Neodiprion lecontei: one gene and its partners. The protein of the gene in region 1 purifies or fractionates together with the protein of each later gene. This does not show direct contact. Links are inferred from orthologs where the notes say so. Each region holds a gene or a part of one and is shown in the gene's direction. Other genes may lie near its edges.

Evidence for each region.
Region 2: the proteins of retinoblastoma-like protein 1 (region 1) and transcription factor Dp-1 purify together in Drosophila melanogaster (affinity purification with western blotting; 4 studies listed by BioGRID, with this or other methods). This does not show direct contact. The link is inferred for Neodiprion lecontei from reciprocal best matches to the Drosophila melanogaster genes Rbf and Dp.
Region 3: the proteins of retinoblastoma-like protein 1 (region 1) and transcription factor E2F4 purify together in Drosophila melanogaster (affinity purification with western blotting; 5 studies listed by BioGRID, with this or other methods). This does not show direct contact. The link is inferred for Neodiprion lecontei from reciprocal best matches to the Drosophila melanogaster genes Rbf and E2f2.

The regions. Positions count from the first base shown.
Region 1 is NC_060264.1:8,083,836-8,087,594, forward strand, and holds the start of retinoblastoma-like protein 1, read left to right. Parts: upstream 1-975; 5' UTR 976-1,317; coding exon 1,318-1,455; intron 1,456-2,111; coding exon 2,112-2,643; intron 2,644-2,793; coding exon 2,794-3,090; intron 3,091-3,759. Other genes in the region: uncharacterized protein LOC107222088, read right to left, coding at 1-297, 430-581.
Region 2 is NC_060261.1:34,106,912-34,110,670, forward strand, and holds the start of transcription factor Dp-1, read left to right. Parts: upstream 1-1,193; 5' UTR 1,194-1,321; exon of another isoform or gene 1,322-1,485; 5' UTR 1,486-1,535; coding exon 1,536-1,584; intron 1,585-2,452; exon of another isoform or gene 2,453-2,478; intron 2,479-2,565; coding exon 2,566-2,684; intron 2,685-3,268; coding exon 3,269-3,335; intron 3,336-3,671; coding exon 3,672-3,759. Other genes in the region: F-box/SPRY domain-containing protein 1, read right to left, coding at 235-508, 656-960. UniProt on the Drosophila melanogaster protein: Component of the DREAM complex, a multiprotein complex that can both act as a transcription activator or repressor depending on the context. In follicle cells, the complex plays a central role in the site-specific DNA replication at the chorion loci.
Region 3 is NC_060264.1:11,860,022-11,863,780, reverse strand, and holds the start of transcription factor E2F4, read left to right. Parts: upstream 1-1,235; 5' UTR 1,236-1,361; coding exon 1,362-1,469; exon of another isoform or gene 1,470-1,486; intron 1,487-1,515; exon of another isoform or gene 1,516-1,651; coding exon of another isoform or gene 1,652-1,657; intron 1,658-1,907; coding exon 1,908-2,017; intron 2,018-2,434; exon of another isoform or gene 2,435-2,650; coding exon of another isoform or gene 2,651-2,736; intron 2,737-3,759. Other genes in the region: uncharacterized protein LOC107216924, read right to left, coding at 1-233, 403-437. UniProt on the Drosophila melanogaster protein: Transcriptional repressor that binds to E2f sites and represses E2f-regulated target genes. Binding to E2f sites requires transcription factor Dp. Acts synergistically with Rbf2 to antagonize E2f1-mediated transcriptional activation.

The DNA.
Region 1 (3,759 bases):
CTCAAAGCTCCCTCCGCCCTATGCAAGATTTGTTCGATGCGTTCATCTGACTCGGCGCCATCCTTGGCAAACCAAAATACGTTGACTTTGTTAAAATCTGGTGTCACACTGACACGAGATATTTCAACCCCTTGATCAATAATATCTGGAGCTACTTCTCCAGTGGCCAGTAGATCTGTAATGTACTTCATGAATAGCTTGTTCAGAACATCATTTCTGCGTTTACTCTGATGAGGCAGGCGTGGCTTCAACAATGTGTGAGGATTTGATGAACTGTCACTACTCTGACACCATTTTCTGAAATAAGATTGTTATAAATGAAATGAATTTGAAATTGAATGTGGAAACATAAAATCTTATTATTCAAACAAATCTTGAAAAGTACCGCATTAATTTTGTTGCATATTACTCTCAATTTGAGACTCTCACCTCGGTGTCCGATCTCCTCTCATGATTTTTGAAATAAATTTTCCCTCCCTCGCGGCGTAGGATTTTGCGAAATTCGTATCGCAAGTAGAGATACCGCGGAACAAGTTATAAAACAATTTTATTTTTGTCAAATCTTGCCATTTGCTAGCCATGGCTTATCGATTCGTGCAATTTTCAATACAGGCAGTATTGATAACGGTAATAAATTCAAACAATCGCTGAATTTTACGATAGTAACATTTCAGCGTCACAGAAAAACGACAATTCGTAGTAGATTATTATTTGAGGTTATGTTCTAGGTGGATCAACCAGATGATGGCCTCGGAACGAAAAGCAGAAAAAAAGTAGTAAGGGTGTCCAAACTAATTATTGGAAGTAGTCCCGCAACCGAGGCGTCAATGTGCAACTTCTGCTACATCACCGTTGCAGTGAAAACTAAGTCAAATGATGAGAATGTTGGGATTCAAAAGTATGATGAGTTGAAAAGACGGTTGAAGAAACTGTACATCGAGTTATAAACCAGTGAAGTTAGAGGAATAATACATTTTTATGCACTTCTTGATATGGATCTGGCACAACCTCAGAATACGCGTAATAAAATAGTACCAAATACGAAATAAATAAGCTCGAAATTGTTTAGACTACGGCTTTTAAATTATGAAAAAGATATACCGAATCTCGATCGGAAAAATGTATCAATTTGCAGTTTTAAATATGATATTTTTGGATGAAATATTCGTTTCTATATTTCCCGCCAACTTGGCAAATATGGCGACAGTTCATCGTTTCCCGCCAAGGTGCTACGGGTCCTCGTATGGCGCACCCCAGTTGTGTTATTGAGGGTTTTCCGTAATTTTGAGTGATTTTATAGTGAGTATCATTTGAAAAATGGGGCAGTCGGACGATGTTGAAGATTCTACGTACAGTAGGCATCAAGATTTATGCCAAAAACTCAATATGGACGCGACAGCAGCTTCTGAAGCTTGGAAATCGTACGAGACTATTCGACAGAATTACACTCTTGAGGTATTTTATCATTCTAATTACCTAACAACAATTTCAATGTTTTCAAACGTTCCTCACCTGCACATAGCCTCTTTATAGATAATTCTGAGATAAACGTCTCAAAATTACAATGAAATTATCACCTCTCGATGACTCCAAAGCAATTATTCAAAAAAATCCTAGAATTTTCGTGATACGTGCAATAATGTACAATAAACATTTAACAAACAATTGCGAACTTCAAACACTTCACTACAAAATGGCTATGCAATTTGTATTGTTGAATCATCATGAACTATCCGATCAAACTCAATCCACTTCTCAGTTGTAACATTTATGATTTGCTCCGACAACGACACGTCGCAATCACACAACAGCTTTAGTTCAAAATATATTTTCAGTAACTTGATCAAAATCCCTCTTATTTGAATGATTACCGTTCTTATCAAATTTATTCAATGCATCAAAATTACATGAATTTTTTTTTACCATGTGACTCATTTTTCATCTACATTGAATCCGTTGTTTTGTATGGTTAAATATTTCTTCTCACTAGTTCCTAAGTTTCTGAGTCAGTTCAGACATTTGAACAAGGATTTGTGTTACTGTCATTTTAGAACTTTCCAAATTTCTCTTGTTATTCCTTTACTTAAATATGTATTGAAATCACGTTCCAGGGAGATCAACTGCATTGGATAGGCTGTGCATTGTATGTTGCGTGTCGAAAGTCATCGACACCAACGGTTGGTCGAACAGGCCCAAACGTCGAGGGGAACTGCGTGTCATTGACACGTCTTCTTCATTTGTGTAATTTGTCACTGATACAATTTTTCACAAAGAGTAAAAACTGGGCAGACATGGCAAATATGCCGCAAGATTTTAGATCTAAAATTGACAAACTTGAGAGGAATTTTACTGTCTCGATGCTTATCTTCAAAAAGTACCAACCCATTTTCACGGACATATTCAAAAATCCAGCTGATGATGTCGCTAGACCCTCCAGATCTAGGAGGCAGAGAGCAATGCCATGTACACCATCGAGAGTTTTTGAGTTTTGTTGGACACTGTTTGTATGCATAAAGGGAGCTTTCCCTGATATATCACATGATTTGGTCAATTTAAATCATTTACTTCTTGCCTGCTGCGATCTGATTTATAGCAACGCACTGTTGGCCAACAGGAGAGATCTGCTCAATCCAAAATTTGCTGGTGAGTTGTTGACCGATATGCGATGAACTACTTTGTAGAGACTTTACTCAGTTTCCGATTGGCATGCTTGTTCAAAGCTCAAAACCTTCTTTCAGACTTGTTTCAACTTTTCTTGATAGCTGGAATTAATTTTATACTCTTTCTATGTAGGTTTACCTGCGAATTACAACAACGATGACTACGTACCTCCGGAGACAGCAAACTGTATTATAAGTTTACTGTGTGAGACTCGTGAAGGTATCGCTGTGGAGGCTAAAGTGATTAAAGAATATTACTTGAAGGATCACATAAATAAGTTGTTCAATGACAAGGTTCTGCGTGGAGATCAATCAAACTTCTCAGGTATCCTGGAGCCGTTAAATTTTGACGGCAACAGCAAAGCCGTCAACAAAGCATACGAACAGCACGTTCTTAGTGTCGGTGATTTTGACGAAAGAAAATTTTTGGGTAAGAAACTGCTTCTGAATATAGACCTTCGACATAGCATACGATTTTTTTTTTTCTATGTGTTTCAAATTCCGAATGTTTGTTCATTTGGAAATTTAAACGATTCCCATCACGAAAGTCTTCTTGGCAAAATTTTTCCATAAATTAAATTATGTATTTATTTCATATTAGTTTTTGTGAATACGTCTTTTGAAACAACTAATGTAGTATAGACGCATTAATATTTTCGTTCGAATCAACATTTAAAACTTCAAGCGTATATTTTTTGATAGGTAAGAAAGCGCATGATCTTGCGTGCGTAATTGTTTACCTTAGATGATTGGGTTTTTCTTCATATTTAAGAATTAAATTGCATTTAACGTAACCCTCAAATACTTTGATATGTATCAGTCACATACTCCATTTGGCAATTGGAAAAAAAGTACTATATTATGACAAAGTATGCTAAGTTCAATTAGTGTACATGAGTATCAAAAACTGTTATAGGTATACTCTGTATAGGTATACTTTGTCAGCTAGAATCAGCTACCCTGAATCGATGAAGTTTCATCACCCTGTTTTATCCTCTGTATGTCATTCGTCATCAAACTGCTACTGTCATGTTTATGCTTGCTTACTTGAATGTTACTAATGGCTGGAATTTTAGATTTTATCCTGTTAGCTCAGAGT
Region 2 (3,759 bases), on another chromosome or scaffold:
TTATTTTGCATAAGTTTTTCACTCTATAGGACAGATTTGTGAGAAATTAGTAGAAGTTGATAAATTTTCAATTTAATTGGTGGAAAAATTTTTCAACAAATCTTACAAAGTACATGTTGCTGGAATTTTCATTCAAATGAACATTTGGCATTTGAGTCACACCGCGCATTGACTTCCTGAAATTTGGTGCCTGCAATTTGATGGATAAGAATATGTAGCAAATTATCAGCTTACCTGATACTTTGGAGCGTTGTTAAGAAGAGGATAATTGCCTTGTGCATCCCCATTGTGTAACAAATGATTGTCGACAAGGTTCCATCCCCAAGAGTGTTCGTCGGAACCAAGTAGAGCTACATACCCTTGGCAGAGTAGAGATGCTTCTTTCGTTGCTATTCCTATCACAGCTACGGTTCCCAAAGGACCTTCCCAAATTACCTCCCACGCATGACGTCCATGGCGGAATCCTATCTTACTCCGAGAGGCATCTGTACTTTGAGCGACTGGATTTCTGGAGGTTGAAAATGAAGCGAATATTGGAATGAAGAAAATCGCTTGGTTTGTGTGAAAATTTAAAGTAACGGGTATGTTGTGTGCATTGAAGTCAACTCAATCACAGCACGTGACAAAACGTAAAATATACTGCTATTGCACCTACCGGTGCAAAGTGAACCCGTTTGGTTTGATGTAAATATTGCGGGAACAATCGTCAGGGTTCCAAGCATGGTAAAAAGCTCGTAATTTGGCTTTATAGGTGGGAACCGATGACAGCAAATCCGACTTGAGCGCTTCTTCAGCGAGTTTTCTAATACAGTGTAACCGCCATACATCATTATTCTCATCGTTCAAAATTCTATACCAGTTCTTACACACCAAGGAACAATTTCGCAAATCGTGCAATTTTAAGTAGGAAAATATCACTTCTAAAACATGATCGGGAACCCTTGACGCTATATCGTCCATTTTGCCGGTCCTACGTGAACGACGGAACAAAATACAGGTGGGATGGAAAGGAAACGAAATAGGGAGGTCGTTCTGCACTGTGATTCGCAGATACATTGATTCACTGACGTTTTGTGTAGTAGCGCTGAGTTCCCCAGCTACACATAATTCGATACTCAATGACTGAAGTTTGCGGTAGACGGGGAACGATGAGGAACGGAGCGAACCACGTGATCAGCACTGGCCAATCAGCTGTTTAGCTTTGTGCTACCGCCAAGCTCGTCTCGGCTCTACTTGCACTAAAAAGCTGTATTTTACTGACGCGTTGTTAATGTCGTGATAACGATTCAACGAGAAGCTGTGTGTCGCGCACGATAGCGCGGTTAGTTTATTTTGATAATTCGCAATATTATTGATACTTGGTAACCGGGTTTTTACAATATTTACTTCACAAATAGTGCAATGCCGGAGTCGCCATTTTGGTGATACGTCGAGTCCGACCTAACTATTGCACTTATGATCTTTTTATTTTCACGCGAATTTCAGTCCGCTTACGGGATCATATTTGATACCTTCGATATCCAGAAGCATCAGTGATGACCCAGCAAAATAAAACGATGAATTTCTTGATACACGACGCAAATGGTAAGTCGTCCAACTGGCGCGCCAACAATCGGCACGCACGGCTCCGTCTCTGAATATTCCTTGTCGAATGAAGTGTGAAACAATACCTCGTGCGATCAACCGAGGAGCGCGTTTTCTAACCAAATTTCACGATTCTTATATTTCGCATATCCATTTCTATTTGGATTCGTCAATTTGATCGCAGGCTCCTTGCTAAACTCAATCACGTTAAAACGTGTGTTTCGCGTTTACTACCAGAATACCGCGAACGAAAGAATGCAATTTTTGCAATCTTTGTTTGTAACCGAATCTTACATTAATAATCTTGATCGAGATTTCTTTCTAAGGATTTACAGAATATCCCAATCACTTTCATTTACTTATCGATAACTAGAACATCCCACTGTATAGTTCTGGATTTCCTTACGTTAAACTTACAATTTACACATTGACACTGACAAATTCTCTGTTCTTTTATTGATATACTTGTGGAATCCATGAATAATAAACAAACATATTTAGTACTGCTCGCGTGATTGTAATTGGTTCACTTTCATTGAGAAATAGCTATTGGAAATTGAAGATTAATGTTAAATGATATTGCTGTTTGGTATTCCTATTTTAGTTAAACTAGCTGTATTGTTTTCACGTAATAACGTGTATTGATAATCAGTCGTACACTGAATATCATTCTTGTAGATCTCAATTAGGATATAAATAATTCATTATTGTTCTTCTTAGCAACAAGGGCATTCCTTATTTGCCTTCAAGATCAATCAGTTGATTTGCCTCTAAAATTTGTGTACTACAGCAGCATTGACTCTTGAAGGACGAATGCCATTCAATATGAAATCTTAAATATTTCAGTATTCCCTACTGCTAAACACTTGATACTACTCAGAAGAGCCATCTAATGTACATACATTAGTTGATTAACTGAAGTTTTGGATCATATAAAATTGTTAATCTGTGATATTTTAAAAAAAATAAACTTTCTTACAGGCCAACCACAAGTTATTAAAGTGGTTCCGAGCACGCCGAATAAAGCACTAACTGGGCTTGTTAGCACCACAAATTCCGGGAGTTTGAAGGTATTCAAGACACCTGGCCAAGATACCCAAGTAAATATCATTTAAAATATATAATCAGACTCGCAACATTTGTATCATTTTTCTAATAATTACCATATATTGAAAAATTGCTCTACCAATATTCAACAGGTTTGCAAACATATTTTAATTATGTTATACAATGAGTACAATCCATATTATTCTGCACTCCCATCTTGAATATTTTTTACGGTTCCCATTTGTATGACTACTGAGTATGGTTCATAAAGCTTTCTAAGATGACACTGAAGCTCATATTTATAGACCTATTCGGATGAGCTGATTCATATCACAATTTAACCCAATGGCCACAAACAGGAGTTCTCAAAACAAAAATTCAAACTGTCTCACAACATATAGTATTTCTGACGTGTGCTATCTTGTACATTTTTTAATCAAGGGATTCAATAGATGATACGCAGAATTATCCCCGCCTGCTAGTGTAAGCTTCCAGCTTCTAGCTTCAACTTTGTATTTACAGGGTGCCCAGTGGTCAGTTAAATGTGTAGCAATTCGGGGGATATTGAATCACTTAGTGAGTGGGCACCCTGGGTTCATTGTGATGATATTATGACCATTACTGTTTGCACACTCAGGTCTTGTCCAGTGGGACACAAGTACTGAGAACCATCAGTTTGCAAGGTTCTTCAACACCTGGTCAGCGTGAGTATTACAGATTCTTACCTAGTTTCTTGCAGTACATATTGACGGATCCTATGAAAACAGAAGTATTTCGATGGGTCGGATAGAACACTTATATTTTGCCGCGCAATCTAGAATGGATGTAACTTAAAAAGTGTTACAGCATGTCCATACAGAGCTCTATACACAACTTTTAGCATCTTTTAAGATAGATCCGTTTTAGGTTACCCAGTGAAATACGGCCTTTCTATCTGGACTGTCAAAATATGTTTGTTTCTATAGGACCCATCTATATATCTGTCTTTTCAGTTATCAGAAAGTTCACATTTCTCATGTAACAAAATATTTTTCTATTAGGCTTAGTTACCATCCCTGTACAAAGTGCAAAAATGTCATCTGTAAAAGCTGGGGAATCTGTAGTGACAAAAACAATACAACTTACAAC
Region 3 (3,759 bases), about 3.8 Mb from region 1:
CTTGTGGAGGATTCGTTAATGGGACAGTTCGCCTTTTCTTGGGCGGTAAATTCACCTTTCCATTTTCATCTGTTATAATCATGCCGATAGAGTCCTCTTTGTACTGATTTTCATCATTCGAATTTAGAAATTCATACACATCCCAATCATGCGCTGACGGGTCCATATCTGGTTCTTCATCCGAAGACAATGTTTTCTTCTGGGAAGAGCATTGTGGAATATTACCAATTGTCCTGTAAAATAGTCGACGTATAAAACATACATTCAACAATGATCATTAAAGCGAATTTCAGCTGTGAAACATCGTTTTGTCCTTGGTCAATAAATTTGATAGAAAAAGACAATTATGTTTCCAAGATAAAAACAGTCTTAATTTGCTATCAGACGAAAAATGAAACTTACTTTCTTGGTTTGACGTGCAAATCGAGGAATTGCATCGCTTTGAAATAGCTTGATGGCTGCCTGTCGGAAACACCGCCTGCAGCTCCCGATGGTGGACCAATTCTGGCACAGCGCTTTTCCCGTGAAAAACGCTCACGCAACAACTTCCACCTCTTCTCACAATCCTCAGCTACAAAATATCAAGATAACTTTAAGCTTGTATCTTATATTTTTACAACACATTATGAAGAAATATAGTAGTTTGTCGTCAATGAATTTGGGAAAGATTTATTAAATTTGTTATAAAATGTTTTATGTATAAATTTTATACATATATGTTTATATATAAACATACAAAATGAAGTAACCTTAAACACTTACTTGAAATATTCAACTCCCGGGCAATACGGAACCACGTATTGTTTTTTTTTTACCCTATCTTTATAATCACCGCTACTTTTATCATACAAGCACGGGGCTTTTTCAACTAGTCCAATTAATTTCATATCGAAGCTTTCCATTGTTTTGCTTGCTGTCGTATCTTCAATGACTTATTTTTCCTTTCGTTTTGTGTGCTTGGGGGTGGGGAGATGGACGGATATAATCTGCATTCTGATTGGCTGTCCGTAGAAACGCTTCAGTAGAACGTTCAAATTCGGCTAGATTCTACTGAAGCGGATTATACTTAAGCGCCAGCAGACAGCGTTGTAAACCATAGTACGGTTTTTCATATCCTTTAACTTCCTACTGAAGCGGTTACGTTTACGGTTACAGACATTGTAAACCGTGCTATAGGCTCCAATCGGTCCTGCGGCCGTTTCCAGCACATACCTATACGTTTATGTTGCTTCGGTCAAGAAGACGCCCTCTATGATTTAAACCCGAGTTTGAGTTCAGCCAGTCGGTGATGGCGTATCGCGTGCGGCAATTTCGAAGAGGAGTGCGTTTCGTTTTGAAAATTTTGACAACGGCCTTTTAAAATGGCAGACAATCAGCAGAGCAGGTTCGAAAAGTCACTCGGTTTGCTGACGACGCGGTTTGTAACTTTGTTACAAAAGGCGAAAGACGGAGTATTGGACCTGAAAGTGGTGAGCGGCGTCGATACGTAAGCTAGCAAAAAGTCACCGCGAGATCTAGGTTAACTTATTATGAGCATATATGTGTACGTTTTCTGCTGGTGTGGTTCCTCTTGCGGGAATTTTGAAAAAAAAACAACATGACAAAAATGCCAGACAATGTGCAAATCACGAGTTCCAGTTCATGAATTACAATGCGGGTAAATTTTATAAGGGTTTGGAGTTAACCACAGTTGAATACAGAGTTCATAATGAAGAAACTAATCTCGTTAGTTTCCTAACCTGTAACACATTTTTATTGTTGTATGATAGATAAAGCACTCGAAATTTGAATTTATATATTATGAGAATAAAATTTCTGACTGCGTGTGATTATTCAATGGTTATTACATGAAACGTTCAAACTTTTACAAGACTGATACATTAATCTGTGCCAACACTTTCCCTTAGGCCGCTGATATACTGGAGGTGCGACAAAAGAGACGAATATACGACATCACTAATGTACTCGAGGGAATTGGGCTGATTGAGAAAAAAAGCAAGAATAGCATACAATGGAAGTAAGTTTGGACATGATAAATATCATTGCATTATCACTCAAATAGTAAGGCACGGCACAAGCTACTTGCATATTTGTAACAATGTGCACATTTCAATTTCGGGCTTTTAATTTTTCAATGTACATTTGCTCGTTTTGTTTAATATCACTCGAATTTCCGTTTGCTTCAATACATCAATGTTGCTATTGATTTTCAGACTAGAGTATGATTATTTATAAATCATTGATCGAATTATAAGTAATAGAAAAAGCTGTTGGATACACATAAACAAAAACAAAAAGTATTACGATGAAAGTGTACTACAGATATCAAATAGTTTCCAAGTTCAAACATGTCGTAAAGTTCAGAAAATTTCTACTTTATATAGAAATGATGGTCTTGCAATTGTGGTTTAATTAAATGAAAGAGTAATTTCAGAAGAATGGCTGGTTCAATGGGACGGTGCCAAACCACATACCCAACATCTGTAAGGAAATGTGACATATTTGAATGTGATACAATTCAAAAACCATGCTTGAGAGACCGTTTGATTTAAGATTTTGATGATTCTAACACACTGCAATCAGAGATCTTCGCAATCAACATCAAACCCGTCCAGTGATAAGATTTTTCACACCATCCAATTGCTTGATTATGTATCGATTCATAATCACGGCACTTAACGCAAGCCATGGAGTTACCTCAGTTTACTGGATCCTCCCGCTTGATAATGATCCTCGGTACTTGTCTTATACAGTGAATTTTATTTGGTGTTCCAATCCTATGTTGTTTCGTCCAGATTTTTATTTGGTAATAGATTTGGTCATACAAAATTTCAGAGAAAATATTGAAAACTTCGAAAATTTGAAAGAAGTCATTGAATTTTATTCAATTTCATCAATATATTTATTTCATGTAAAAATAACCGTATATTCACCTTGTTAATCCTGATTTTATCGAAAAGCTAAGGAAACTACGTAAAAAATATGCTTCCAAACAATCAATATTTCAATGGTTTGAATCCTCACGCGACCAACGCAACCTGATTTTCGGATTTTTCACAAAAGGTTGCATAAGAAACTGTCATTGAAATGTGTTTTACCGTGGTATAAATTTATGATAATTTGGAGATTAAATTTCTCTAACTTCCACAAGTATTAATGCTAGTGGTTAAGGCTCATGTATATTTATTTCGAATCTTCGTTCACTTATCTTCTTAACAATGAATTTTCAGTGGCAGTTTTTTGTGCAATTTTTTCTGAAGAATCTGGATATCATGGAATCGTTTGGCTGCCTGAGGATAGAGTATTGGAACATTAACTTTTTAGAAACATCATTTTTTTACCTTATTTTTATAGATCTTCAACAAAGTTATGCATACATTCATACGGCTTCAAGAGACTTATCATTTAAAATAGAAATAAAATTGAAATACAGTAGAACCTTGATCATCCGAACCCTCAATTATTTGAACATTGGCGCGAAAGATACATTGTTGCTCGCTGCCACCGCCGTGAGCAACAATGTATCTTCGCGAAAATCGCGGGCATGCAAAAACGCGTTACAGACGTTCGTTGATATAAAATTGACGATGTCATAAAAAAATATAAACAAAGGCATTCGAGTTTTTTCAGGTGTTTAAAATACATGCATACACACACGCACGCGCACACACACGCACACACATATATTTCAACGTTACTATGTATGTCAAATCTTAATATATATATGTATGTACTGTTTTTGTGTAAAAATGTGTTGTT